Notamacropus eugenii: one gene and its partners. The protein of the gene in region 4 interacts with the protein of the main gene of each other region in a biochemical or structural test. Links are inferred from orthologs where the notes say so. Each region holds a gene or a part of one and is shown on either strand. Other genes may lie near its edges. The genes, in order: APPL1, RBSN, OCRL and RAB5A.

Region 1 (6,849 bases), about 430 Mb from region 4:
CTGGAATCATGCAAATCCCCATAGCTTTGGAGTTCATTAGGGTTTAGCCCTTGAGGTCCCAGGCCTACAGCCCAGAAAACTCCTTAGAATGTCACCGGTTGCCATACCTGCCTCCTCTCTAGCCCTGGGCTTGCTTCTCTGCCGCTGCCTGCACTGTGCCCCATACAGTTAGGCTTGGGCAATCCCAGGTCCCAGTGAGCCAGCTGCCCCAAGCACATTCTTTTCCTAGATAGTCTTTGTCCCACTGCCCCTGCTGGAAGCCTGGGGCATGAGGAGCCTGGTACTGCTAAAGTCGTTTAGAAGACTAAATCTCTGACTCAAGACCACCCAACCTGGCATGAATCTGCCCCATCCCACTCCCAAGCACTCTGTAAAGAGCTGAAAGGGACGTTAGAAGTCACCTAGTCCAACCCCCTTATTTGACAGATAAGAAAACAGAGGCCTGGAGTCAGGGAGACCTGAGTTCAAATCCTACCTCAGACACTAGCTGTGTGACTCCAGGCAAGTCATTTAACCTGTTTGCCTCAGTTTCCTCATTTGTAAAAAGGGGATAATAATAGTATCTACTTCTTGTTTCACCTGTAGCTCCAAGATGTAACATGTGCAGTGGCCACACCCCAATAAACCTGTCTCAGCAAATGGGCTAAACCAGATTGAGGGTAACCAATGGACCTCCAACCCATGGTGAGTTAGGATAACTAGCCCAAGCACGTGAAGATTTCCTCTGGCAGAATGGGTACATGGGTACAATTTGTTCCAAGGGCCATGAAGGTGGCTAAAGCAGGAACTGTGGAATGGTTAGAGCCTGGTCAGACATCCAAGAGGCCACGATCATCTGCCACATCCCTAGCGGTCTTGACTTTTGTCTTTGCCATTGATTACGCAGGAAGAAAGAGTGAAGCTGATAATGGTGACTCTTGTAAATCCAATTCACTCCATGATCTCATTGGTCCTCTTTGAAAAAGAGGGGGGAACAACAAACTCTATATAAAAAAATGTTAACGATGATTCCAGATAACATTCATAGGAATCTTGAACAAAGAAGAGATCTTAATATGATAAAATAATTTAGAATTAACATTCTATATTAATACAGTCATTACTCATTCCTTCCCTGAACACTTCCTGAAGAACTGAAAGGATTTCCTTCTGGCTATCAACACCTTACACTCAACTGCAGAAGAGGGCCAGGGGCATCCATAGATGGGTCATGTCCTTAATGCAATCACTCAGGGGGTATAAGGAGGCAGTTAACTTACCCAGTCCGAACTTAAATTTGGTTATTATTCTTAATCTAGTTCCCTAAGAAACGCCTTAGCTTTTTTTTCCTTACCTACCCTCCTAAAGAGGGAAGTCTGGAAAGGGCTTTAGGCTATAGTAAATAACCATTTCTTAATATTTTCAGTTGACTCAGAAAGAAAGTTCTTAACCTGCTTCTACAAGTCCCTTCAAATTCTCACTTAAGCCTCTTTTGAAATGCTTACATCACCACTGGCAACCTGAAATGGCCCTCAATTGAATATTATTTGAACTATAAAAATCCATCCTCTCTGTAACAGCCCCTCTAAGAATGGAGATCTGCCTCCCCCCCAAAAGAAGCCAGAACCCTGCAAATGGCTCTCCAGCAGGGGCTACCTTCTGCCATCAAAGAAACTCCCCCTCCACCCAACTTTGCCCATGAAAAAGTTGACCCTTGCCAGGATGCTGAAAAGGTCCACAGTCATGGCTTAAAGACATGATAACAATGACTGAATCTCAGAGCTGGAAGGTCTCTCAGCAGTCACCTCATCCAACCCACTCCTGATCTGTAATTAATTCCCTTGACACTACCCCTACCAAGTGGTCCTCTTGCTGGAAGCCCTGGAGAATGAGAGGCGCCCACCACCTCTAGAGGCAGTGGTCTGTTTCCGGACAGCTCTGCCTGAATGAGCTACCCCCAAATGACCTCTTGGTTCTCCCGAGCAAGGCTAATCCTCCTTCCAAGAGAAGAAGCCTTCGATAATCTGAAGACAGCTGTCAATCAACATCAATCAAATAATCAATAAACATTTATTAAGCACCTTCTAGGCACCAGGCACTACGATAAGCACTGGGGATACAAAAAGAGGCAAAAAATTGTCCTTGGCCTCAATGAGCTTACGATTTAACAAGGGAGACAACAGGCAAACAAATCTATACCAAGCAAGCTAACACAGGGAAGGCACTGGGAAGGCTTCCAGTAAAACAAGGAACTTTCCTGAGGAAGGCATAGAAGCCAGAGTCACGTCCCATCCTCAAGTCTTCTGTTCTCCAGGGGAGTACCCCCAGTTCTTTCTGCTGATCATCTCCAGCTCGCACAGTTGTCCCAGTCACCTGGGGGGGGGGGGGGCACTCCTGGGACGCCATAAGCCCAGCAAACACTTGCCCTATTTCCTTTGGTTTTTCCATTTCATTGTAAACTCCCTGAAAGCAGGGACTGCCTTTTGCCTACTTTTGTATTCCCTGGGCACTTAGCATAGTGCCTGGGGCATAATCCATGCTGATCCATCGAATGATTGATTCTCCCAGCCCATCAGACCTTCTAGGGTTATAGGGGTGCCCGAGGGCTACACTGCCAGGGTTTTCTGACCCCTTGGCACAGCCAAGGGTGTCTTTAGGGCCAAGCCCTCAGGCAGTCTGCCCCAGGAGTTTCCAAGGGAAGAGTGGCCTAGGTAACCAGGCTTCCCAGGGCCCCACCGTGCCATCTCCCTGGGCTCAGTCGGGGAAAGCCAATCAGCATCAATTAAGCACCTGGTGTGTGCCAGGCACCGAGCTGCACCAAGGTGAGGTAAGAGGAAAGCAAAGGGCACGCTGGGTGGTCTGGGGGCACGGCCTGGCACTGCTTGCGGCAGAGGGGGCAGGGGCGGGCAGGGAGGCATCCCAGCCAGTGAAGGAGTGGAAAGCAAAGGGCAGGAAGGCAGCCGGGCCCACCACGATCCCGTGCGTGCCTCAGTTTCCTCCCCTGTAAAACGACCCCATCTCCGGGGCGTCCTGAAGACGGAATGACGCGATGCTACCCGCAGGCAGCCCCCTCCTCCCTCGGGTGCTCCCCAGGGGGCCGGGACACCCGGCCGGCCCGTCCCCAGCCCCCACCCCGGGCCTCCTCCCGGAGAGGAGCTGGGGAGCGCCCGGTCCTGAGCGGGCGGCCGCCTGTCAGCGAGCGCGCCGGACCGACGGACTGATGGACTGACAGACGGACTGATGGACGGACGGACTGACCGAAGAGGTAGCCAGGCCTTGCACCCCCGAGGGCAGGGGCGGCCCCCAGCCCCGGAGGCCCTGAGGTCCAGGCGGGGTCGGGGCGCCACTCCTCCACGGACCCATCGCGGACTCAAGCTCGGAGGAGTGTCCCTCCACACCCGCCCAGGGCACGGCGTGGGGCACGGGGCAGACAGAGGCGCGGAGTCCGCGCCCCACGGCCCGCGCGTGGGCAGCCCAGCAGGGCTGGCAGCGGAGGGTGCTGAATGACGGGGGAGCGCCCGGGTCCCTTCCGGAGGTGAAGGGGGGCCGCGCCCCCGGCTCCCGGAGCATCCCGAGCCTCGGACCCCGCCTGGGCCCCACCTCCCCGCCGGGCGGGGCGCCGGGAGGTCCTTGGGCTTGGGGTGGGGGCGGGGGGGAGGAGGGAGGCTCGCGCCCGCGCCGCGGGAGCGCGGAGAGCATGCCCCGCCCCCCCTCGCCCCCCGCCCGCCTCTCCTCCGCTAGGCCCAACGTCTCGAGACCGCCCGCCGCCCCCGCCCTTTTTGCTCTAGCAGACTGGCGTGGCCGCCAGCCAATGGACGGCGCATCTGGCCGGGCCTGGCCAATGAGGGGCAGAGGGGCGGGATTTCCCCCTGCGGTCGTTCCCCGGGATCCGAGGCGGCGGCGGCGTCCGCGGCTGAGGAGGCGGCGGCGGCGGCGGCGGACGGGAGGACGGACTGACGGACGGGCGGGCGGGGCCGGATCCGGTTCGGTCGGTGGCGCGCCTGCGAGGGCGGAGGGTGCTCGGGCTGCGGCTGTCGCCGTCGTAGTCGCCGTCACTGTCGCCGCCGCCGCCTTCTCCTCAGCTCGGTCCAGACCCGACCCGGGCCGGGCCGCCCGCCAGCCGCCATGCCGGGCATAGACAAGCTGCCCATCGAGGAGACGCTGGAGGACAGCCCGCAGGTGAGGCGGCCCGCGAGGCCTAGGGAGGTCCGGGCGCGGCGGCGGCAGCGCTGCCCCCTCGGCCCCCAGGTGTCCGGGCCCGGCCCCTTCCTCCCGCCCCCCGCTGGGCTCCGGAGCCCGGCGCGCCCCTCCTCCTCCCTCTCCTCCCGCGGCCGTGAGGCCCCGAACCGGGGGGTTCCCTGGGCCCCCGCGAGGCCCGGGCTGCGAACCCAACTTTGGCCGAGAGACGATGGGGGAGGGGCGCCCGCGGCGGCTGGACCTCCCGGCCGGTCCGCGTCGTCAGCCCCGGGGGCAGGCCCCCACCGCCTTCTCCCCACTTTTCTGGGGTGACCCGAACCGCGCCCCCGCGCCGGGGTAGACCCGCTGTGACTTTGTGCCGTGGGGGCGGGTACCCCGCCTGGTGGTTGGGGAATGTTCGGGGGCTGGGGGCCCCCCCGAGCGAGCCTTCATCGAGCTCCTGCTGTGTACCCCGTGCTTCGGGCCGCAGCGCCGCTGCCGCCGTTATCCGCGAGTCACCGAGGAGGAAACTGAGGCAGGGGCCGCCTCCCCGCCCCCTCCTCGGGCTTGCCGGTAGCCGGCGGCGCGCCAGGTGCGCGCGTACCTGGGCGGTGCTGGGGGATGGGCCGTCCCGGGGGCCTGTTGCCGTGGGGACGGTCCCAGCAGAGCCGAGACGTCGTCGGAACGCGGCCCTTGGAGCGGATCTCCTGAAGGAGTGGGATGCCCTCGGATCGGGCGGAAACGCTTTCTGGAGCCTAGAACCTGCCCCCATGACGGGGTTTTGTAAGCCCGCGTCAGTGCCAGGAAAGTAGTTTGTACAGACCCGCTGCCTGCCTGATGATGCGTTTCTGGTCCGCTTCTACCGATGCGAGGGAAGCAATCTCCTGAGTTTATGGGGTGTCCTGAGTAACATTCCTATCTGTCCAAACCTCTCTGGGTTCAGTCTGCTATTAGTATGTAATGTGTAACGTAGTACATGATCAGAATTTATAGAGGGATCTGTTAGGATCATATGAAGGCAGTGCTGCATAATGGATAGATAAGTGGTCTTGGAGCTGGAAAAATTTGGATCCAAGTGCTACCCTCTGACATCCTGACTGAGGGACTTTGGGCAAACCCCTGGACCCCTGCCTTGGTAAAGGAAGGTCTTCTCTGGGAGCTCCTGCCACACATTGAATCAGAGGTCTCTATCCCTATTGATAATCAGCAAGCATTTATTAAGCCCTCCTTAATAAATGTGCCTTGCCCTGGAGATACAGGTACAAAGACTGAAATAATCCCTCTTGGCTGTGGAGAAAACAACAAGTACAAATATAAGTGTATGCAGAAGAAATACAAACTTGTTGAATACGATTTCACGTAGAAAGTGATACCTGAGCTATACTGCCTCGAAGGAAGAGAAGGATTCTCTGAGGCCAAGATGAGGAAGGCATGCATTTCAGGGATGGGGAGCAAACAGCCACTTTGGTGGCATCACAGAGTGCAGGGAAGGAAATTACATCTAGTGAGGCTAGAAAGACAGCTTAGTCCTTGTTTGTGGAAAAGCTAAGGAGGATTTTATATTCTAGAGGCAATGGGGAGCCACTGGAGTTGATTGAGTGGGAGGGTCACAGGGCTTACGGAAAATCACTTCGGCAGCACTGTGTAGGGTGAGGAGAAGTAGGGAGAGACAAGGCAGGCTTTTGTAATAAGCAGGCAAAAGGTGACCAGAACCTGAACTAATACTGGTAATAGCTAACATTTGTTAATATTATAACAGCTAGCATAGCACCTTGCTAGGCACTGTGCTAAGTATTTTACAGATATCTCACTTGATCTTCACACCCCTGAGAAACTGAGGCAAAAGAGAATAAGTGACTTGCCCAAGGTCATACCAAAGGTACTAAGTATCTGAGACTACATCTTCCTGACTCTAGGCCCAGGCACCTATCCACTCTCTCCTTCTCACTCCCTGAAGCTGCCTACTAAGGTGGCAGCTGTATAAAGTAAAGAGAAATAGTCTCAAGAGATGTTAGGGAGGTAGAAACAGCAGGATTTGGCATTTGATCGATTGATTGGCTGTGTGGGTTGAGGGTGAGTGAGCAGTATAGCATAATGCCAGTGTGAACTTATGAGAAGAAAACAGAGAGCTTGGGGGGGACAGATAGTGAGTTCAGTTTGGGGCCTGTTGGAGATGCCCCTAGGACATCCCACTTGAAATGTGTACCAGGTAGTTGGTGATTCCGAACTGAAGCTGAGCAGTGACATGGAGCTGATGAAATCACCGAGAGAGAAACTAGAAGGAGATGAGAAGAGAACTAGGAAAGAACTTTGGGGAACACCCACAGGTAGGCAGTGTGACATGGATGGGGAATCAGCAAAGAAAATGGAGGGGAGATCAGACAGAGATGAGAGCATACCAAAGAGGAGAGCATGCTCAGCTGTATCTAATGCAGTACAGAAGCATAAAGATGGAAAAAAGACCATTTAAGAGATAGTTGGTAACTTTGGAGAATAGCTGCAGGTGAGTGATGAGGATAGAAGCCCGAATGTCAAGGGCTAAGGAATGAGAGGAGCAGAAGGGCAGGCAGCAGGAGACTGCTTTACCAAGGAGTTTGCCTGAAAAGGGGGGGGGGGGGGGGGGGATAGAGGATGCTAACTTGAGGGAATGGTCAGATCCAGTGAAGGTTTAAGAATGAGGGAGACTTGGGCATG
Region 2 (7,456 bases), about 400 Mb from region 4:
AAACTTCTTTGCTGATGTAGTGATGCTAATCAGGCAGTTACTCTACAGTATTTTTTCAAGCAGGTGGAAAAAAAGCTGTTTTAAAAGTATTGAAGTCATCCTTACTAATAATGGAGTAAAGGTTATAGGATGAAATGAACAGAAATTTGCCAGGCAGAAAATTGGAAATATTAATGCACATTGCAAACTCAGCTAGAGGGCGCCACTTTAGAAAGACTGCACCACTTAACTTCTATTGAGTGTCACTAAAGTACTTCCTGGCAAACTTCTCAAAATGGGTGTGGTCCTTCATCAGGAAACTAATTAGGAATAATTCTGTCTTTATTTTTAAATAATCTTTTCTGAAATAACTGAGAGGCCAATCTCAACTCTCAACCACACCTTCCCCTATTTAAGTAAAATTATCATTCTGATGATAAGTAGGTCCATGGTAATAAATCAAAACCCAAAGATCCATACAGCAAGGATGTTTTCTTAACTAACAACTGATATTAGCCACATAACTTTTCCATAAACTCCAGATGTCCCAAATCCAAAATTAGCTCTTTTCAGTTCAATATCTGTTATTAAGCTAGCCTCCTTAAGCTAGCACCATGAAGGCTATGATATAAGGGAGAAATGCGGTATACTCTGACAAGGCTTTTCATTAATCTTTGGTGTCATATTTTCAAAATGTTATTGTTAGCTTCTAAGACTGGAACATTTGTCAACTTAGGTCAATACAAAGGTCATCCTCTCCATCCTATAAAAGATTCCCTGGGACCTCTAGGGGACTTCACAAATTAACTTTTTAACTACATAAAATTAAAAACCCCAAAATGGGAAAAATGGAGGACATTTTAAGAATTCTCAGAGTTCCTTTAAAAGGAACAATGTCTCATTTCATCTATTTTAAATAAATCACCTGAAATACATTGTAGACATAAACAAACTTTTTTGGGGGGGAGGGGTGGGCAGAGTATAAATGAAACTGTCTAAGAGGTTTTTTTTTCTTTTTTTGCCTAACATTCCCAAAAAAATACTAGGATGTTCTGAGTAAATTTTACAAAAATGACACTAGGAAGCAGACAGGTGATACTGTGAGAATAAATCTTACTAGCAGTCTAATATAAAACCCTAGGCCCCATTCACACCATCACTGACCAGTGAATGAATATTACAGAAGTACCTGCTGTATAAAGTATAAAAACTGCTAGCATCCACACATCACTACATACTTCTTTGTAGAGCAGAGAGATGCACGTTGTAAACCAGCATTAGGGGCCCTAAACCAAAACTGCCACATGAAGGATGTTACTGATCATATTTTCAAAGCCTTTTTTTCTTCTCCCAGCAATTCTGTCTGGTCCAGTTGTGCTTCATGACCCTACCTAATACTTCTCTGTTTTGGATATCTGAAGCCCAGTCTCCTAGCCAGTTTCCTATCCCTTGTGCCACGCTGCCTATGTTCCGCTCAGGAATATATCTGCCTTTTCTGCATTCCCATCACCACCCTATCTTTCCCCCAAACCCCATCATTACCCTATCCAGACTCTTAGTGTAAAACTATCATCTCATTTCCTCTTGCGTGCGAGCTGTCACTGATGAAAACATCAGGAAAGTGGCCGAGGGATTCCACTCTCCAGGCAGCCTGTCTGCGCAGTGCCCCGCAGCCCAGTGCACCCAGCGGGCAGGCCTCTTACTTTTTATCTGCCCTCTGACATCCCTGTCCTCGCTGGAGTGCTCTTCCTCATAATGGGACTGGAGCTGGTAAAAAGACTGCAGGTCCTTGAGGCACAGAGGGCACAGGAAGCCCTCCCTGACCTCGCCAGGGTCATCCAGAGAGGCCATGGTGGCCTGGCACTTCCAGAGGACAGGTCACTGCATGTCCAGGAGGGAGCCGGCCTCTCAGCAGCGCAGCTCGCCCGGGGCCGGCTTACACAAGGCAGAGGCTGGGGAAGGGCATGGCCCCCCGGGGGGGGTTTCTGGTCAGCCACAGAAGGAATCCTGCAAATAAACGGGAAGAAAGCCAGGTGAGAGGGGGCCGGACACCTGGGCTGCATCTGAACTCGGGGCAAGCTCCACCACGGGCACGGCCTCCCACTGTGCCCCAAGGACCCCCCCCCCCCCCCAAGAGCTTTGATTTGGGCGTGCTCTGCACCGACAGTTACTGTAACTGGACATTTACAAGTCTCGGCACTGTCGCCAAAGTCGTTTTGGCCTCCAAGTCCCAAAGGTTTTGGGGGCCCCCAGCAGACCCCACTTTTGAGAACCCCTGGTGTGGACTTGACCCCACCCAAATAAATAAGAGGAAGGCTTTTTCAGTAAGAAACACATTCTTAAAGCACCTGGAACTTGGAAAGATAAAAGCGCGCTTAAGCCTGCACCCCGCACCCGCACCCCGCACCCCGAGCGCTCGGGGAAGCGCGGCGGGCCCGGGGAGCCCCTTCTGCCTCCGGGGGCCCGGAGTCTGCCCCGGCCGGCCTCAGACCCCTCGGACCGGGGCGGGCTAGGCCCACGGCCGCGAGGCTGGAGGCGAAGCACCCCCGGACCTCGGCCAAGGGGGGGCCCCCCATTCTCCCACGGAGGTCCCCGAGGGACCTCCACCCCCTCCCCAGGATCCGCCCAGGGAAGGCTGCAGCGCTGAATGAGGGGTGACTGACGGACCCCCCCCCCCCCCCACACACACACACACAATAAATACCCTCCCCCCCACACACACACACCCCCGCGCCGACACGCCCCCTCCCCTTTCTCCTCCCAGAGCTCCCCTCCCCCCCTCCAGCCTCACCTCCCGCCCCCCGCGGGTCCCTCCTCCCTCCCCGAACGGCCCGCGATGCGATGCGGGGCGGAAGGAAGGGGCGCACTCAGTACCGCTGCAGGCCTGCGACCAGTGCCGCCCACGGGGCCGGGGGCTCGCCCCTCCTCCGCCTCTCTCCCCTCACTGGGCCCGGGCGGCCATCACGCATCCATGCCCTCGGCCCTCGGCAAGAGAGCCTGCGCGGCAGGCAGGGCAGGGACGCATTCATCGAGCACCGAGTTATCGAGCCACCCCAGGCAGGGAGGGAGCGAAGCTAGTGTCTGCGTGAGCTGAGCCTCTGCGCAGGCGCCGCGGGAGAATTGGAGACGAGGCGTGGGGAAGGAAGAGGGCGGGGAAGAGGGAGACCAGGCTTGTGGTCGCCGCCGGCCCCGCCCCCCAGGGGCAAGGCAGAGCAAAAGACAGCCCCCCCGCCCCGCTCCTGTTAGAGATCTACACACACAGGCATCTGTAATTAAGTGGGCATGGGTTCTCCTTGTGTAGTTCATTGATTACATCTAGGTTATAGAGTCATATCCTAATTATATAAGGTTCTCTATGTCATTCTGCAATTGTATATAGGGGGCGGTTATGTAGACATCACAACAGTCCTATATGGTCATGCCGCTGTACTTCTAGTCATGTAAGTAAATAAGCATACCTAGAGAGGGTTACAGTTACAAGGAGTTATACGGATGTACAGTTGTAATAGTTGTAGGACATGTGTGTATGTGTGTGTATATGTATGTACGTATACATGTATCAGACTTGGCAGGGAGTCCTAGCGAGGAATGGAGCTGGGAACAGCAGCAGCAATGGTCGTTGGCTGCTGAAGACTTGTGCATCACATGACCTCATCCCCAATACTGTCTTCCCTTTACCTAAACCAATAAAACTTCATGGATGCGCCCTTGCGGCAGATACTGGCATCTAATAGACTGTGTGATTGTAAGGAGAAGAGACAGACAAGATGTGAGAGTGACAAAGGCAATGTGTGGTGCAGAGTGCTGGACTGATCATAGACTTATCCTTTCCAAGCCAAATATTCACATTCATCAAAACCGCTGACCCCAAGGAAAAATGACTACCAGAAGAATTAGTGTCAACAAATTAGAGTTCTCTGAGCGTGAACAGTTTGTTGCTAACTTGGAGGGAAAGTTGAGCCACACATAGTTGGCAACAGTGGAGCAGAAAAGGAGTGGGCAGCTTTCAGAGATTTGGTGTACAGCACTGCATTTGCTCTTCTGGGTCAGAATATTCACAAACACCAAGACTGGTTTGACGAAAATAATGAGGAAATTCAGAAGCTGCTAAACGAAAAACGAGAACTCCATAGGATTTACCAGCAGGATAGTTCATCCAGCTATAAGAAGGCAGCATTTAATTTCATCAAAAGTAAAGTACAAGCAAAGCTTAGAGAGATGCAGGATTCCTGGCTCAGTAGGAAGGCAGATTAAATTCAATTTTATGCTGATAGTAACAATCCAAAGTGCTTTTATGATTCCCTGAAAGCTATCTATGGACCAAAAACCTATGGTGCATCACAACTACTCAGTGCTGATGGAGCCACATTGATTAGTGATAAGGACATGATCGTAGAGAGATGGACTGAACACTTCCTTAGTGTTCTCAACAGACCATCATCAGTCAATGATGAGGCCATTGACCCTTTGCCTCAGGTTGAAGTCAATCCCTCCTTAGTTGAACTTCCAACTGAAGAAGAGGTTTTGAGAGCCATTAGGCTCCTTTCATGTGGCAAGGCACCTAATGCTGATTCTATTCCAATTGACATTTACAAGGTAGGGACACCATTGCTCATACAAAAACTGACTGAAATTTTCCAGGTTATATGGCAAGAGGAGGTTATTCCCCAGGAGTTCAAGGATGCCTCCATTGTCCATCTCTATAAAGGAAAAGGAAATAGATTGTCCTGCGACAATTACAGCGAGATCTCTCTCTTAGTCGTTGCTGGCAAAGTTCTTGCTAACGCCTTCTTAATAGGCTGATCTTTCACCTGGAAGATGGTCATCTACCTGAGAGTGTGACTTCAGAAAGGGCTGAGGAACAGTTGACATGGTGTTTGCTGGCCAACAACTCCAGGACAAATGCCAGGAGCAGAACAGAGGTCTATATACAACATTTATAGATCTGACCAAGGTCTTTGACACTGTTAGTCATGAGGGCTCGTGGAAAATTATGTCAAAATTTGGTTGCCCAGAGAAGTTCATCAGTATTGCACATCAATTTCATGATAGCATGTTTGCCCGGATTCTGGATAGTGGACAATGCTCTTGTGCCTTCGCAGTCACCAAAGGAGTGACAGGACTGTGTAGTTGTTCCCATGCTTTTTAGCATGATGTTTTCAGCCATGTTGTGAGATGCTTTCAGTGGGGATCAACACGACATCAAGGTCAACTACCATACTGATGATAAGTTCTTCCATTTGAAAAGGCTACAAGCCAAGACCAAAGTGGAGAGAGTGTTGGTGCATGATTTTCTGTTTGCAGATGACTGTGCATTCAATGTAGTCTCTGAAGCTGACGTACAACAAAGTATGGATTAATTCTATACTGCCTGTGCTAATTTTGGCCTAATAATTAACACCAAGAAAACACAGGTGCTCCATCAGCCACCACCACACCATCCATTTGTAGAACCATTGGTTACAACAAATAAAGAAGTTTTGAAGGCTGTGGATAAGTTCACTTACCTTGGTAGTGTACTTTCCAGGGATGTACACATTGACAATGAGATTGACATGAACATTGCCAGAGCTGGCTCAGTGTTTGGGGGTCTCCAAAGAAAACTAAGGGAGAGAAGAGGTATTAGACTGACTACCAAACTGAAGGTCTACAGAGCTGTTGTGCTGACCTCATTGTTGTATGCCTGTGAAACATGGACAATCTACCAGCGCCATGACAGAAAACTGAATTGCTTCCATTTGGACTATCTTAGGAAGGTTCTGAAGATCACCTGTCAAGATAAGGTACCAGACACTGAGGTCCTTGCTCAAATTAAAGTGCCAAGCATTCAAACTATGCTTCAGAGAGCGCAACTCCAATGGTCTGACCATGTTGTTTGAATGCAAAACGTACGCTTGCCAGAAAGACTATTTTATGGAGAACTTGCATGGGGCAGGTGATCACATGGTGGCCAGAAGCAACGACACAAGGACACCCTCAAGGTCTCTGTCAAGAACTTTGGATTTGAGTGTGCCACATGTGAGACACGGGCACAGGAATTGAAACAGCACAAAGGAAACATAGGACTCACAAATTTGGAGTAGACACTCCAAATGTTCACACAGATTATCTGTGCCCAATGTGTGGTAGGGTATTCTGAGCTTGTATTGGTCTGATCAGCCACAGTCGGACATATTGAAACTTGACTTTATCACAGTGATGTCATTTTGGTCCTCCAAGAATGAAGGAGAACAACCAATGAGTTATATATAAATCTAGTCCATGTCATTGTAGTTATAGTTATGTAGGTATACAAGCATATATATATATATATACATATATATATGTAGTTATGTCATTGTAGATAGCTCTATAGATATGTATAGTTAGATATATTTTCAGGTGTAGTCATATAATTATCTATAGTCCTACATATAGGTGTATGCAGTTAATTGTTCAGTCAGTTCCACCTCTTCATGACCCCCATTTGGGGTTTTCTTGGTGGAGATACTGGAGTGGTTTGCCTTTTCCTTTTTCAGGTCATTATACAGGCAAGGAAACTGAAGCAAACAGGGTTAAATGACTTGCCCAGGGTCACACAGCTCGTGAGTGTCTCAGGCCAGATTTGAACTCATGAAGAGGAGTTTTCCTGACTCCAAAGTCTAGTGCTCTCTCCACGGTGCCACCCAGCTGACCCTATGTATATATAATTATATAGCAGTGGTTATATAGTTACCTAATTATGTAATTATGTATAGATATTTAATTACATATAGTCCTATATAGTTATATAGTAGTCCTTATTTGGTTATATATAGTTATGTAGCTCCATAGTTATGTAAATATACGGGCATATTTAGGTATATAGTTATTCATAGTTTTGTAGTTATATGGTTATATTTGTTCTATGGTTTCTATAAATCTATAGTTATATATACAGGTATATAGGTATATAGTTATATATTATAGGTAGTTATATAGTTATAAATAGATATACGGTTACATAGTTTTATGTATAATTGTAGTTGCATATGTATAAATGCACATACATAACTCTGTGTGTGTGTACATACATGTACACATACTGGTCAGTTTCATTTCTGGCCTAGAGTCTCATAAATTTGTCTCCATCTCTTCTGCTCTTTGGGAGGTCTTTCTGGGCCACTTTGGGCTCTACATCCTATGATCCTGTGACCCCTTGTAAGCAGCTCCTGGCTCACTATAACTGACTAGAAGCTGTTTGCCCCTCACTGAACAGGAAACTTTAGGTCAGGCCTTTTCCCTGTTACCCAGATCTAGAAACATCAGCCTATATTAAAGAGCATCTGATTGGCCCAGCTCCAGGCTGACCCTGTCCATTCCAGTGCCCTTTCTGAGGCACTTTCCATCTTTAAACCTGTAACAGACAGACATCAAGTGACTTCAATTCACATTTCTCACGGATTCACATCTTCCTATAAGGTGTTTCCCTAAAGAAAACAGCTTCTTTTCACAGTAG
Region 3 (6,903 bases), on a different chromosome or scaffold from region 4:
GAACAGTTAGAGCCCTTGGCACAGGTAATGCTGATGACTGTGGTCACTACGAGAGCTATTTTGAGTACGGATAAGGTGGCAATGGTATGAAAGCTGGCAGCCACATGGTCAGCTCACTAGAGTGTTCTTTTGATCAGTCATTGATAATTTATCAAACTCCCACTTCATGCTGTTCGAAGCTACTAAGAGTATTTGTCCCCAAGTCACTCAGAGGGAGAGTTATTTATTAGTCCTAGCTTAGTAGGAGGGGGAAGCACCAGGAGACCTGGGCTTGAGTCCCAAGCTCTGATACTTACACTGGCCATGTGACCCCTAGGTCAAATTATTAAAGTGGTAATGTCTAAAGCCACTATTCTGGCATCAAAAGCCTCCATTTAAAGGAGTTCCTAATTTTCTCATCAACGGTTGCAAGTGGGGATTAAGTTGTACAGAATTAAAGAAGGCAAAGCCTAGTCTGTTAAAAGTAACAAAACAGCATTTTCTAAGGTACTTTTATTTAATCCTTTCCTAAACATTTTCCCATCTATTATCTCATTTTATCCACCATACACTGAAAAGACCAAGCAAGGTGGAGAGCTGCTATTATTCTCACTACCACGACATGGGAAACAAGAGCTTAAAGAGATGGAGATGATATAGTGGAAAAAATATTAAATCTGCATGAGGAGACTGGGGGTTGAATTTTGGCCCTGCCTCTTACTCTGTGACCTTGGGAAAGTCACTTTCCAGTTCTAATCCTCAGTTTCTTCCCCTGAAAAATGGGAATGATGATACTTGCACCATTTATCTTGTAGGGCTGTTGCCTTTAAAGGCAACAAAGAAGTCAGATACTACTATTATGATAAAAGTGAGTGAGGTACCCTCTTTTTGAGCCTGTTTCTTTACCTGTAAAATCAATAAAGCTTCAAACGCTACAGGAATATCAGATGTTATCATTATGTGACTTGTCCTCTTCCTAAGCCTCAGTTTCCTCACTTGTAAAATGGGGATATTTGTATTACCCACCTCACAAGAGCATGAGGGAAGCACTAAATCATAAGGCGATATAAAAAGGCCCAAGTCTTTGGAGCTGGCCCAGAGATGAGTCAGAAAGACCTGGGTTCAAAGTCCCTTCTATAACATAGAAGTTTCATCACCCTGAGCAAGTCACTCAAGATGATCAACTTTCTCAGGATTTAGGATTCAGAGCTGGACTGATTTCTCATGGTAGAGGGAGTTACCTTGTGCAGAGTTCTTTATGAAATCACAAGACCATACAAAAGAGAAAAGGAAGCGGGGGAGATAGAGAAAAGTAATTTGTTCTTATTATTACTAGGATGAAGTGACAAGGCCAAATAGGTCAGTGGCAGAGCAGGGCATTCTTTACTTCTGGCCTTAGTTTTCTGCTCTGTAACATTAAAGAATTGGATTCTTTCTAGAGTTCTTTATCTCCAACTCTGCTACTTTTGAGACCTTTGGTATGGTAGCTCCTCTCTCTCCCGCCATCACTCAGTTTCCTCCTCTGGAAAATAAAGGGGACCTGGACTGTCTCTATAGGGGCCCATTGGAGCTCCCTTCTGGTTCTAAATCTAGGCAGCTAGATATAACCACAGCACCATGCTAGGAGGTGGGGAAAACCCAGGGAATACCCTGGTTTTAATCCTGCCTAAGACACTTTCTAGCCACATGTGACCTTGAGCAAATAATCAATGTTTGCCTCAGTTTCCGTATTTGTAAAATGGGGATAATAACAGCACTTTCCACCCAGGGCTGTTATGAAGATCAAATGAGATAATATTATTGTAATTATTGCAACTATTATCATTACATCTATGATCCTTTCCCTGAGCCCCCCTTATCTCTCAGTAGAATGAGGTTGGCAGTAAGATTTGTAACATGGACAAAGCTCTGGACTTAGAGTCAGGAAAACTTGGATTCCAATCTTGTCTCAGACACTTTAGTGACTCCCTGAGCAAGTCATTTAATGTCTCTAGGCCTCAGTTTCCTCGTGTAAAATGATTGGGTTGGGATCAAAGACCTTTGAGGTTGCCTCTACTCTAAAAAGACGATTTTAGGAATAGAGCCCCTCCCAGATCCTTAATTCTACGGGGGGCGGGGGGGGGGGGCGCGTCCTTATACTGGGGCACAACCCTAGGGGCTCTTAAAAGGGCCTTCCACAGGTTCCCCTCCTGCTCCTCCCCATCCTCCTTCGTCCCCCACCATCCTCCTCCCCTCAATATTCCTCCCATTCTCCTCTCCCCCCCCCACCCAGGGTCCCCCCTCCCCAATTCTCCTACCCCTCCCTCAACCCTTCTCCCATCTCCCGGCCCCGCCCAGCCCTCGGAAGGCACTGCTCTTCACCCTGGGCCCGGGCGCCGCGCCCGGTGGTGGCCGAGGCTGACCGCCTGGCACTGGCGGAATAGTCCCTGCCTGCCGGGGGTACCCAGGGCCCAGAGGATTTCCCTCCTCCCTAGCCCGATCCCGAGGCTACTTACTCAGACTGTGCGCCCCTTCGAGCCAGGATCAAGCGGCAGGCCTCTCGTTCGGGGCCCTTCAACTCCCAGCCCTCGATTGTATGAAGGGGGGACAGTCAAGGAATCCAAGCTCAAAGCCAAGGCAGGGGTGCCTCGGGAGGGGGGCGCGCTCCCGCCCCAGCCCCGCCCGACCCCCGTTTCGGTCACGGCCGCCGCCCCGCCTGCGTGCGATAGCGAGGGCGACAACGACCGACCCCCCTTCTTTCCCGGGCTCCCCCTCCCTCCTCCGCCTCCCCCTTGACTTGGCCCTCGCCCCTCGCCCTTCCCAGAGGTGGATACTGTGAGGAACTGCACTCTGGTCGTGGGCCGATCCATCCGGGCGGGCGAGCGGACCGGCGCCGGGGGTTGTGAACACCGATCGCACGGTGTGAACCCGACCACCCAATCGGCAGCCCTCCTCCGCTTGCCTGACGGCCCGCCAGCCGGGCGGCCCCGCTTCGCCTGGTCTGCCGGAAGAAATTAACAGCTGCCCAGAGAGCTCCCGCGCTCCTACTGCGAGAGAGCGCCCCGAGCGGACAGCAGAGAGAACGAGAGCCAGTGAGCGTGAGAGGGAGCGAGCGCCTCCCTGCGCGCAGGGCTCCGCCCTCCGCCAACGGCGCCCCCGCGTGCTCTAGTGCCGCCACTGCAGAGCCGGAGTCTCGAGCCTCGGCCGCGGCTCCCCGCTGGGAAGCCAGCCAGCCAGCCATCTGCTGAGATCGCAGGCTTTCAATGAAACGACAATGGACGCCCTAGATCATCCTCTCCAACCTGGGGCCCTTCCAGTTATCCGTGCACAGACGAGTAAAAAGAGCTTGGAAAGCCTAACTTTCCTGTTCTAACTCAGCTACTGTATAGCTGGCTGGGTGACCCTGGGTGATATTTCGCCACTCATCCATTGGACCGCCCTAGGCACCTCGAAATCAGGCTGTTTCAAAAGGGCCCATGTGCTTTGGTAGATGAGGTTCCTTCACCAGAGATACACAGATGAAATTATTCATTGGTAGGTTCTCCCCTCCCCCCATCCGCCACATCCCCACCTCCCCAAAAAGTGCCAGGATGGTACTGTGCTAATTAAATTAACCAAAGAGACTTGGAGGAAAATGACCCCGTGGAACCTAGAGGCAAGAATGTTAGCTCTGCAAGACCCTCTGATGTTTACTGTACAGCCTTGTATGATTATGGGGCTTGGGTTAGACAAGGTCTGAGGTCCCTTCCATTTCTAGGATCCAGGATCCCTAAATCTGATCATTTCCATTTTGACAGTCTGTTCTGTGATTCGAATGTGTTTAATGATGCCCTGAGGGCCTTTGAAAAGGCGCGCGCGCGCGCGCACAAGCAGGCGCTCGCCCACCTTTCTCCTCTCCTGCTGCTCAAGTGCCCTCTGCCTGGTTCTTTCCCGCTGTTGTCCAGGGCAGCCCAGTAAACCGGCAATCCTGAGCATTTCCCAAGGCAAGCCGACTTCCCAGCCCTCTGAGCAATGGTGGAGAGAACCCCCACCCTGTAGGAGAGTGTAAACACTTCAGACCCCCCACCTGGGCCCATCGCCCGCCGACTTGAGGGTGGGGAGAGGAAGAACCAGTTCCTTGCTCTGCTCGGTTCCTAGTTTAATTTATTCTGGCTAACGAATTTCTACGGTACTAGAGTGACAACGTTCTGCCAGCAGGTAAAAATGTTCTAGCTTATTTTCTAAAACCATCATCCCTTTCTGTCTAGCACCTCCACCCCCACCCCCAGCTCAAACCACACTTGGGGTACCTCACACCGCTGCATTTATCATCATCTCTTAAATAGCATAGTTATCTGTGTGTGTACTAACCCCCCCCCCCCATTTGAGTTTACATAAATGTCTTTATCCCCTCCTTCCTGCCCCACCCCCCAAACTCTGGTCATATTTATCCCCGCCTTTTCTAATCACTAAGGTCTTGGTGATCCCATCTGGAAAATCCTGTGGAGTCTCCCTCCCCTTTCTTACTGCGCCCCAACACCCACCCATCCACATCCCACATCCTCCCATTACTCAAATTCCCTCCTACCCTGGTCTCTCTCTCTTCTCCTTGCCCCCAGCAACCAGATAATCTTCCCTAAAAACAGGGGGAAAAAGAAAAAGAAACAAAACTGGGCTGTTTTGATGTGGAGGGAGGAGGAAGCCCAGTCTGGAGAAACAGAAATGTCAATGAGTTAAAATCTGACTTGCCTGTTATATGCATAGTAGTGAGCTGGGATTGATACAAAAGAAAGTAATTTAAAAAAAAAAACAAAACAAAAAACCCCAGCAACCTTTGCCTTCCAGGGGCTTTACTGGAGTGGAAAAATAGACACTCAGATCAAGTGTCACAGTTTTCCACATGGGAATCCCTACTCTATAATAATATCACAGGCCTGGCATCCCTTCCCCTCCTCCCCCTTCCCCTTTTATTTATTCAATATTATACCAGTTACAGGAAACTACACCAGTGCAAAAACAATGTGGCACTAAAAAGTTGGGGCACTAAAAAATTTGTCCTATTTGTGTCACACTCAGGGTCATAGGAGCAACATAGCCAGTATGTCTATATGAGGGGTGGTACAAATGGCCTCAGATCCTTTCTTGACTCCAGAACTGACTCTCTATCCATATGCTATGCTTTCCGTAAAAATACATATATAGAACTATTATGGGGATTAAACTCCCTGAATTCAACAGGATTTGTGTTAAAGTCTCAGTTATGTTCAAAGCAGAGTCTGATAAAGTCTTGTCTAGATGGATCATTTATTTTCTCGGAAGGCAGGAAGCAGTGAGGAGACCTGCTTACCACTGGGACTTGAATAAAATGGGAAGTTCTTAACTTTGAAAGGATAAAAAAAAATAACTGCCATTTCTTGACATGAGAATAAACATGGCCTGGATGTCTGTGTGGGAAAAAAGAAGGGAAAAAAGATGGGCATTTTGCCTGAGTTCATTATGAATTTTAACCATGAGATAGACATCTGCGAGAAAGAAAAAAAAAACTGATATATCATCTTGGACTGCAGTGACTTAAAGTGGGGGAGGGGAGCATCCAGAAAAAGGGAGGGAGAAGAATGTCCTAAACTTGTCCTCTACGTTGGTCTCACCACACCTGGAGTATTGTATTTAGTTCATTTTATGGGGAATTTAGGGTTTGACAAATGTCCAGAGACAGCAGAGGGACGTGAGCAGCATCACAGCAGGATTATTGCTTAAGGAGAAGTGAATAGAAGAGATGGGAAAGTTCCAGGAATAGAATTGGACCTCAATATTGTAATCTCTCTGAAGGCAGGGCTTCAACTTGTGTAGATGCCCCTCAATTGAATACAGAAAATTTTCAAATGTTTAAATGCATAGTTATTTAATAACTCAATCAACTGAGTCATAATTGTAACATCAAATGACCCATTAGACTAAGCTGTCCAAAAATGGAAATTTCCCTGTTCCTGGAAATAATCAAAGCAGAGTCTGGGTTGCCCCTTGGTTCATAGATGGTCAAAAAAAAAGTTTTTTGGGTATCTCCAGGGTTGAACTAGTAGATAAAAGTCAGTCCTTTAAAGAATTACAATTCTTGGGGGTAGGGAGTGAAAGCAAGGATACAGGGGAAAATCTAAGTGATATGCAAACCAAAGATATCAACTAAAATTTTTTTAAGAGGTTACATCTATTGGGAAAGATAAGAGGGGCCTAGGTGGCAAAATGGATAGAGTGCCCAGCCTGAAGTCAGGCAGACTTCTTCTGCCTCAGACATTTATTAGCTATGTGACCCTAGGCCTGTTTTGCCTCAGTTTCTTCATCTGTCAAATGAGCTGGAGTCCTTAAAAAATGGCAAACCCTCCGGTTATCTTAGTTGAAAAAAACCCCAAAAACCCAGACACAACTGAACAACAAGACCACAAGGCACAAAATTGTTTAATATAATTAAAATATAGTTAAATATAACTATAATTAAAATATGATTGCAATTACTTAAGATAAGCATTCTTTTTTTTGACACTACCACCCCTATTCACCCCCCCTCCCTCTCTTCCTCCTTCCTTCCCTACACTGTTCCATTCCCACCAACTTCCTTTTCTACACTGGCCTAAAAAGAGCAAATGTAATATTTCTTTAATGGCACTTTAGGAGGCCTCACTCATGAGCTCAATATTTTGCAAAGATGAAGAAAGGACCAAGGATGAAACACAGTGACAGTGTTCCAAGTAGGCCCACCCTCTGCCGTGAGTTGAAGCTGATGGGACACACACAATAGCATTTTAAAGCTATCATCAAGATTGAGGAAAGGATATTTAACATTTTCCCTGCTGCAGCTGCTATGTTAGATTCCTGACAGTTAGATAACTGTCAGATATCAAACTAAGAAGGAAAACCTTAACCGGATCATAGATGTGGAAAGCTAGGGAATAGAGGGGGCAGATCACTTTC
Region 4 (7,161 bases):
GTGCTCATACCTTTGATCTTATCATCCATAAGTCTTCTACTTCCATGTTCAAGAACTCTGAATGTGCTTTATCTGATGATAATTTTTTATCTTTCTATCTCTTCCTATCCCTTATTTTCATCTTAAAATCTATATATCTTCTATTCTGAACTTAACAAACTGTAAATAAAATGGGCAATTCCATATAGAAGAAGAGAAAGAGGAACGTATGTCAGTCTTCAAATGTGTTATATACAACTTTCCTCTCTTTTTTAATAATTAATTTAACATGTTACTTTTAAAGCTATCCTGCAGCTATGTGATTCTGTCTTCTTTTGTACATTCAGAAGTGCTTCAGTGACCTTTTCTCTTTTGGGGGGTGAAAGGGAAGATGCTATCCTATCCCTAGTCTCTTACTCCCTTCCACCCAACCCCAAACTGGAAAAAAAAAAAAAGAGAAATAAAAGCCTTGTAACAAAATTTGCAGTCAACCAAAACACATCCCCACATTGGCCTTGTCCAATTTGTCATCCTGAATCTTGAATCCCTCACCTCTCTATCAGGAAGTGGGTAATGCGTTTCATCTTAGGTCCTCTGAAGGTTGGTCATTGCATTGGCCGTAGTTCGTTTTTTAAAATTGTTTTTCTTTGCAGTGTTGTTGTTTTTGTATAAATTGTAATACTGGTTCCACTTACTTCACTCTGAATCATGCCCATCTTCCAGGTTTCTCAGAAAATGTCCCTTTCATCATTTCTTATGGTGCTATTTCACTACATTCACATATCATAATTTGTCTGGTTATTCCCTAGTTGATGGGTCCTCCCTTTGTTCCCAGTTTTTTGATATAACTAAAGAAGCTGCTATAATTATTTTTGCATATATGGATCATTTTCATCTTTCTTTGATCCCTTTGGATTATAGATCTAGTAGTAGTGTTGGTTTTCAAACTCATTTTTCCTCTCTTGGTTTTCTTCTTACCTGTTTGACTGTTAGTTCTCAGTCTTTTGATGGATTTTAATCTATGTCACTCACACTAACTGTGGGTGTGTCACAAATCTCTGTTCTCCATTGTTTTTCTCTCCATAGTCTTTTGTTGTTGGTCTCATCTATTTCCATGGGTTTAATTATCTCCAAGCAGATGATTCCCAGATCTCCTGAGCTCCAGTTCTGCATCACCAACACTTTGTTGGACATTTCAAATGGGATATACACCTTCCTTCCTTCCTTCCTTCCTTCCTTCCTTCCTTCCTTCCTTCCTTCCTTCCTCCCTCCCTTCCTCCCTCCCTCTCTCTTTCTCTCTTCCTTTAATTTTTTTTTACAATAGCTTTCTACTTGGTCTCCTTTCCTTAAGTCTCTCTTCATTCCAAACTCTTTGCACCTGCTAAAGGGATTTTCCTAAAACATAGATCTGACCACATCACCTTCTAATCATTAGACTCCAGTAGCTTACTGTCATCTCCCAGAATTAAATATTATAAAGTCCTTTGTTTGGCATTTAAAGCTTTTATGACCTGGCACCTTCCCACTTTTTCAGTCTTAAGCACTGTAATGAACTCTGCAACTCATATTTACTGATGCACATGCTGTTACTCAAACACAAGACATTCCATGTTCATTCTTCCCACTTTTGTCCTTGCTGTTCCCCATGCCTTCCTGCCCTGGTATGCCCTCCCTCCCTCCCTTTGACTCTTAGAATCCCTGGCTGCAATTAAGACTCAAGTCAAATTCCACTTCTTTAGGAGTCCTAGCAGCCCCAGCTGCTTGTGCCTTCATCTCTAATGGGCACTTCACCTATTCTCTGTGTGTCTTATATGTAGGTAGTCATTTATATAGTCTCTCCCATTAAAATATAAGTTTCTTGAGAGCAGGAACTGTTTTTGCTTTTTCTTTGTAACTTTTTAGCACTTAGCACAATGCCTAGCACATGGTAATAAATGTTCATTGGCGTGATGGGGACAATTTCTGGGCAAAGATAAAGTGAGGTAGAAGTAATTCTATCATAGGAATATATCACAGACCATCTGAAAAGAATGAGGGAAAAGACAAGGCCTTTAGGGAGTATTAGATGGCTGACATGGAGGTATGACATGTAGTGATGGAAGACTTCAGTTATCTAGACATCTACCAGAACTTTCTGCCCACAGCAGAACATCTAAGCATGCCTTCTAAGCATTTTCTACCTTACCTTTTCATTACAATATGACAATTTCAAACCAGGTCTTCAGACTCCAAATATGGTACCTTTTTCATGGGTGGGAAGCTTGTTCTTTCAGGTCTGGAATCCCTAATGCAAAGGAAATGTATACTAGCTTTATAAAAATGTAGATGCAAATTTAGCATCCTATCCTGTGATTTCTCCCCTCCCATACTGGAAAAGGTGAAGAACTAACCTTCACCAATAAGGAAAACTGATTGTTGGAATGTAATAGAACTGGAGAAGAGATCTGGGTATAGTCTGACATATACCTTAGATTCTGGGAAAGCAGATTTCAATGAGTTCAGGTGAGTTTAGCTGGGAGAGATGGGAAGTTCTCAAAAATGAAATTCTGGAGATATAAACAATTCCAATTAAGAGAAAAAAGAAGGGTTGCTTAAAAAGCTATGCTCCTAAGTGACACCTTTACTCTCTCTAATAGAATCAAAACTATCTGTAACAGGTAGTGAATTGTAGTGCATAAAAGCACTACCCTCGGAAGTCAGGAAGACCTGGTTTTAAATCTAATCTTAGACACTTACTAGCCGTATGATCCTGCTTGCAAGTCACTTAACCACTTTGTGCCTCACTTTCCTCATCTGTAAAATAAAGGGGTTGGGCTTCACTGCCCAAAAATGTCCCTTCCAGTTCTACAGCTTTGATTCAATAGCCCCATATGTTAGATAAGTCATAAGGTGTCGGCACCTTTCCAAGCTCTGTCTCCTTCAGAGGAGAGAAACAGGAACTCAGAGACATCCTGTCCCTGCAGCCGGCAGCCGGCGGGGAGCAGGTAGGTAACTTGCTCCCTTTCCTCTCGAAACCAAAACCTCACAATGGGTCCAGAGCGAGGGGAGAAAGGAGACCTGGCCCGAGGGGGCGGGGCACCCCACGGCCCTCCCCCGTTCCCTAGGTAACCAGTTTAAACAGTTACTCTCCCTTAGTCTCTGGGTCATTTGGTGCGGCCCAGGATTGGAGGGGAGTCCAGACCTGAGACTGCGATCATGGTGCCCCCATCAGACTCCGCGGAGACAGGGAGCCCCCGGGAGAAGGAGGTCTCCGAGGTCTTGAATACCCCCCCGGGAAAAAGGCCGGTTCTCAGCCCAGGGCAAGGCTGCCTCATGGGCTCCGTTAATACCCCGCGGTTGATGTCACTGAAGCTCTCACCTCCTTTGGGCCCCAAGGCCCACCCTATACCGTCTTCGAAATGCTGCGTGGAGGGGCGTAACTGGCCGTACTTGGATAAAGGCGGGGGGCAGTACCGGGAGCTGCACTCTGCGGGGCTTCGCTGCCCCAACCGCCCCAGCCTCCTGGGGGACATGCTGCCCTCAGCGGAGACAGATGCTGCCCTGGGCATGAAGAGTGGTTTGGGATTATCAACCCGGCCCCCCACGGCCAGGTACAGCGAGAGGGACCCGGAGGATCTGCGGAAAATGCGGGAGAAGCTGGCCGCGCAAGCCCCATTCTGTCCGCAGCCCAACATGGGCTTAGTGAACGAGCTCGCAGAGAAAATCTTTTGCCCCGAGAATTTGGGAGCCCCCGAGGAGGAGGAGCCCTTGGGCAGCCCGGAGACTGGACTGCCCAGTAGGGTGATGTGTAACCTGGAGCCCGAGAGCAGGGACCCCATAGGGTTGGTGATAGAGCCGCCAACTTACGACTTCGGGACCAAGCCCGAAGGAGCTCCCCAGCTTCCAAAGGATTTGGAACCCGGAGTGGAGCAGCCAGATAAGCCGAGACCCATTTATTTTGGGAAATTTATTGACCGTAATCCTGCCTTGCCATGTGTGAGTTCTGAGTCCTCTTTCACACCTATACTTTTCTAACTCACTCCTTCCCCTTACCTTTCTCTGGGACCAGTGGTGTACTTAATATGACAACTAAATTAGAACACTGGCTTCCGATTGCGGTTTATGGACACCAGTTATTATTTTGTAGAAACTTTCTATGTTACTCCTTTGCCCCCACATTGGATCTCTGTTTCCTTGGATGCTAACATGATCCATGATTTCCTTAGTAGGGTATAGTCTCTTCGCTGTTGCAGATATCAACCTCTCTATTTCATTTTTGCCCATGTCCTCTCATAATCTCTCCAGGAAGGAGTTACTGGGTGTGTTAGAGTCTTTTCTTTCATCTATGAACCTTTTGAAAGCACTAGCACAACACTTAGGTTCTTTCTGCTATCCCTGACTCTGACTACATGAAGAATCTGCCTCTTCCAATCACATATTTCTTTTGATGATATGCTTTATTAAAGCTCCATAATACACCTTTTGAATGTTGTCTTTCTACTGATCACCCATTTTTGAATGTCTTTGTTCTCCTTAAAATACCCACTAAAGGCTTTTCTCTCTCCAATTCACCCTATTGGATATTTACTTTCCCACTCCTCATTTTCTCAGCATTTTCTCCCCATGTTTCTGAGCTGCCTTTCCCCCATGTCATGCTAATGTTCTCCCTTTTTTTTTCCAGCCCCACTGGTGTGTAGTAGGACATATTTAAGTCTAACCAAAGGAAAAATAGTGTTCACATTGTTAGAGCTCTGGCTCTAGAATCCTGCAGTAGCGTTTGGGTTCAAATACCATCTCTAATGCTCACCTCCTTCATGACCTTGGTCAAGTTCCTAAACCTCCCTGGGCTTCCCTTTTCTCATCTGTAAGGTGAGGAGGTTGAACTCCATGGTCCCTTCCAGTTCTATGGTCCTAAAGCAAAAATCCATTCTGGACCCAAGAAAGTGATTGAAGAGATTCTACTTTTCCATTCATTGTTTATTTTGAGATTGAAGAGATTCTACTTTTCCATTCATTGTTTATTTTGAGATTATTATTAGTGACATTATAGTCTCCTTTTCAGGGGATATGATATGACTTGATTCTATGAAGATATACTAGTATATATGTGTATGTATACATTTGTTTCATTTTATTTTTTACTTTACTTGGGATTGTAATTCACTTGAAAACACAGGCCCAGGCCAAGTTCCAAAGTCACTTTCATCCCTAACTGTGCTGATCCTTTTAGTTTTCATCTCTTACTTTTTTACCTTTTTTTTTTTCTTCTTTAGGCAGGGAAGCTTATTCCAGTTGGAGACAGAGCTGAAACCTGTTTAACTGAAAAATGGCCTCCAGTGAGTATTGTCAATAGATACTTGCTTATTTCTTTGCCTTAGATAGGACCTTCAAGACAATTTAGTTAACTCTTTGTATTCTCCCTTAAGCTTATATAAAATGGGTATTGGAAATATTTAGAGGCTTTCCTCTTCTAACAGTTTGGTGAGAGGTGAAAGTGATATGAGGCTTCCAAATATACTAGAATTCAAGGTGTAATGGGAAAAAGCACTGGAGGGAGGCCTGCATTCTAGTTCTGGCACAAACTACTTAACCTTTTAGGACTTAAATTGATTTATCTACCAAATAAAAGGATGGAATTAAGTAGGGGTGGGGAACCTGCAGCCTCGAGGCCACATATAGCCTTCTGAGTCCTCAAGTATGACCCTATGACTCAATCCAAAGGGTCATACCTGAGGACCTATATTTGTTCTGTGAAGTTTGGATTCAGTCAAAGGGTCACACTTGAGGACCTAGAGGGCCACATGTGACCTCCAGTCCACAGAATCTCTACCCCTGGATTAGAGCGTTGTTAAATTCCTACCCAAATCCAAACTACTGTAAGCCAATGACCTATAGTGGCAGTCCCAGTGTAATGGAAAGAGAAGGAAGATGGAAGAGAAAAAGCATTTTATTAAGTACCTAGGAACAGTGTTAAGTGCTTTACAAATATTAGTCAAAAGACCTCATAGGGATCAAGTCTGACTCTTGAGGCCTCTAACTGTATTATGTTGGGCTAGTCATAATTTATCTGACCTTCACTTAAAAAATGCAAATTATAATGTTTTCAATACCATCTCAAGGGACTATAATCCAGAAAGCTGGATACTAATGCCAGCTCTTGATAGTAACCATTACTAAGTAAATTCATGCCAGCTAGAAGAAATCTAATAGTATTTTGTCCTTTGAGATGCTAGTGCCTTTTGAATATTGATTTTCTAAATGCTGCTAATATAATTTGTTTACATGAGAGGTAAAGGGGAGACAAATTGTTAATTGATTTTCAGTAGGATTTTTCAGATGAACTACAACTGATTAGTTCTGTTTGTAGAAGTTAGCAAGGAACACTAAGAAACCACACAGATTCTGGAATCAGAGGACCTGAGTTCAAATCCTGCTTCCAATGGTTACTGCCTGAGTGACTAGACAAATCACCATTCTCTGGGCCTCAGTTTAATCCTTTGGAAGATGAGGGGATTGAGCTAGCTGTGCTCTGAGGTTCCTTCCTGATGGGAATATGTGATCTCATGAGTTCATGATTTCAATAATTGCATTACAAATTTTTTTTTTTTTTTGGTAATGTGACACTACGGATAGAGAGCTGGCCTTGGCTTTAGGTATATTTGGTTTCATGTCTTGCCTCTGACACATACTGATGGTAATCTCCACTTGAAACCTTGACTTGCATATCTGTATGTTCTTGTATTTTTCACTCTCTTGATCATATGCCTCTCACTGCAAAAAGAGGGGCTTGTATTACATGGCCTTTAAGCTCCTATGTTTGATACTTAACAGAAAAAGTTAACACTAAAAATAATTAATTCTATAACTTTTTCTCATAAACAGATTACATACACGTATTATACATAGTATGTATACTATATATAGTATAAGCTCTAAATATATAGTATATATGAACTATAAATATATAGCGTATACTCATACAGACTGTAATATACAATGTTTTGTTCTGGACTTCATTGTGTTTAAGTAGACTCAAAGGGAGTGCAATAGTAAATTAATATTATTGTTAAAAAGCTGTGTTGATGCCTTTTGTTTTCAAACCATTTTCCTCCATCATCCTTGTCTCCCTGTCACAAATTAAAACACCTAACCAAAATCATTTTTGGAAAGATGATAAGTAGTTCTATTTCTGTCGAGTTTGCT

Evidence for each region.
Region 1: the proteins of RAB5A (region 4) and APPL1 form a complex in vitro, tested with the Homo sapiens proteins (2 studies listed by BioGRID and IntAct, with this or other methods). The link is inferred for Notamacropus eugenii from reciprocal best matches to the Homo sapiens genes RAB5A and APPL1.
Region 2: the proteins of RAB5A (region 4) and RBSN form a complex in vitro, tested with the Homo sapiens proteins (3 studies listed by BioGRID, with this or other methods). The link is inferred for Notamacropus eugenii from reciprocal best matches to the Homo sapiens genes RAB5A and RBSN.
Region 3: the proteins of RAB5A (region 4) and OCRL form a complex in vitro, tested with the Homo sapiens proteins (2 studies listed by BioGRID and IntAct, with this or other methods). The link is inferred for Notamacropus eugenii from reciprocal best matches to the Homo sapiens genes RAB5A and OCRL.

Annotation. Positions count from the first base shown.
Region 1 is NC_092874.1:467,907,409-467,914,257, reverse strand, and holds the start of APPL1 (DCC-interacting protein 13-alpha), read left to right. Parts: upstream 1-3,834; 5' UTR 3,835-4,104; coding exon 4,105-4,158; intron 4,159-6,849. UniProt on the Homo sapiens protein: Multifunctional adapter protein that binds to various membrane receptors, nuclear factors and signaling proteins to regulate many processes, such as cell proliferation, immune response, endosomal trafficking and cell metabolism.
Region 2 is NC_092874.1:431,153,711-431,161,166, forward strand, and holds the start of RBSN (rabenosyn-5), read right to left. Parts: upstream 3,003-7,456; 5' UTR 2,854-3,002; exon of another isoform or gene 2,771-2,853; intron 1,987-2,770; 5' UTR 1,831-1,986; coding exon 1,683-1,830; intron 1-1,682. UniProt on the Homo sapiens protein: Rab4/Rab5 effector protein acting in early endocytic membrane fusion and membrane trafficking of recycling endosomes. Required for endosome fusion either homotypically or with clathrin coated vesicles.
Region 3 is NC_092879.1:51,288,446-51,295,348, reverse strand, and holds the start of OCRL (inositol polyphosphate 5-phosphatase OCRL), read right to left. Parts: upstream 3,017-6,903; 5' UTR 2,829-3,016; coding exon 2,793-2,828; intron 2,555-2,792; coding exon 2,475-2,554; intron 1-2,474. UniProt on the Homo sapiens protein: Catalyzes the hydrolysis of the 5-position phosphate of phosphatidylinositol 4,5-bisphosphate (PtdIns(4,5)P2) and phosphatidylinositol-3,4,5-bisphosphate (PtdIns(3,4,5)P3), with the greatest catalytic activity towards PtdIns(4,5)P2.
Region 4 is NC_092874.1:34,215,193-34,222,353, forward strand, and holds the start of RAB5A (ras-related protein Rab-5A), read right to left. Parts: upstream 3,001-7,161; 5' UTR 2,879-3,000; intron 2,264-2,878; 5' UTR 2,165-2,263; intron 1-2,164. Other genes in the region: EFHB (EF-hand domain-containing family member B), read left to right, coding at 3,175-3,954, 5,232-5,294. UniProt on the Homo sapiens protein: The small GTPases Rab are key regulators of intracellular membrane trafficking, from the formation of transport vesicles to their fusion with membranes.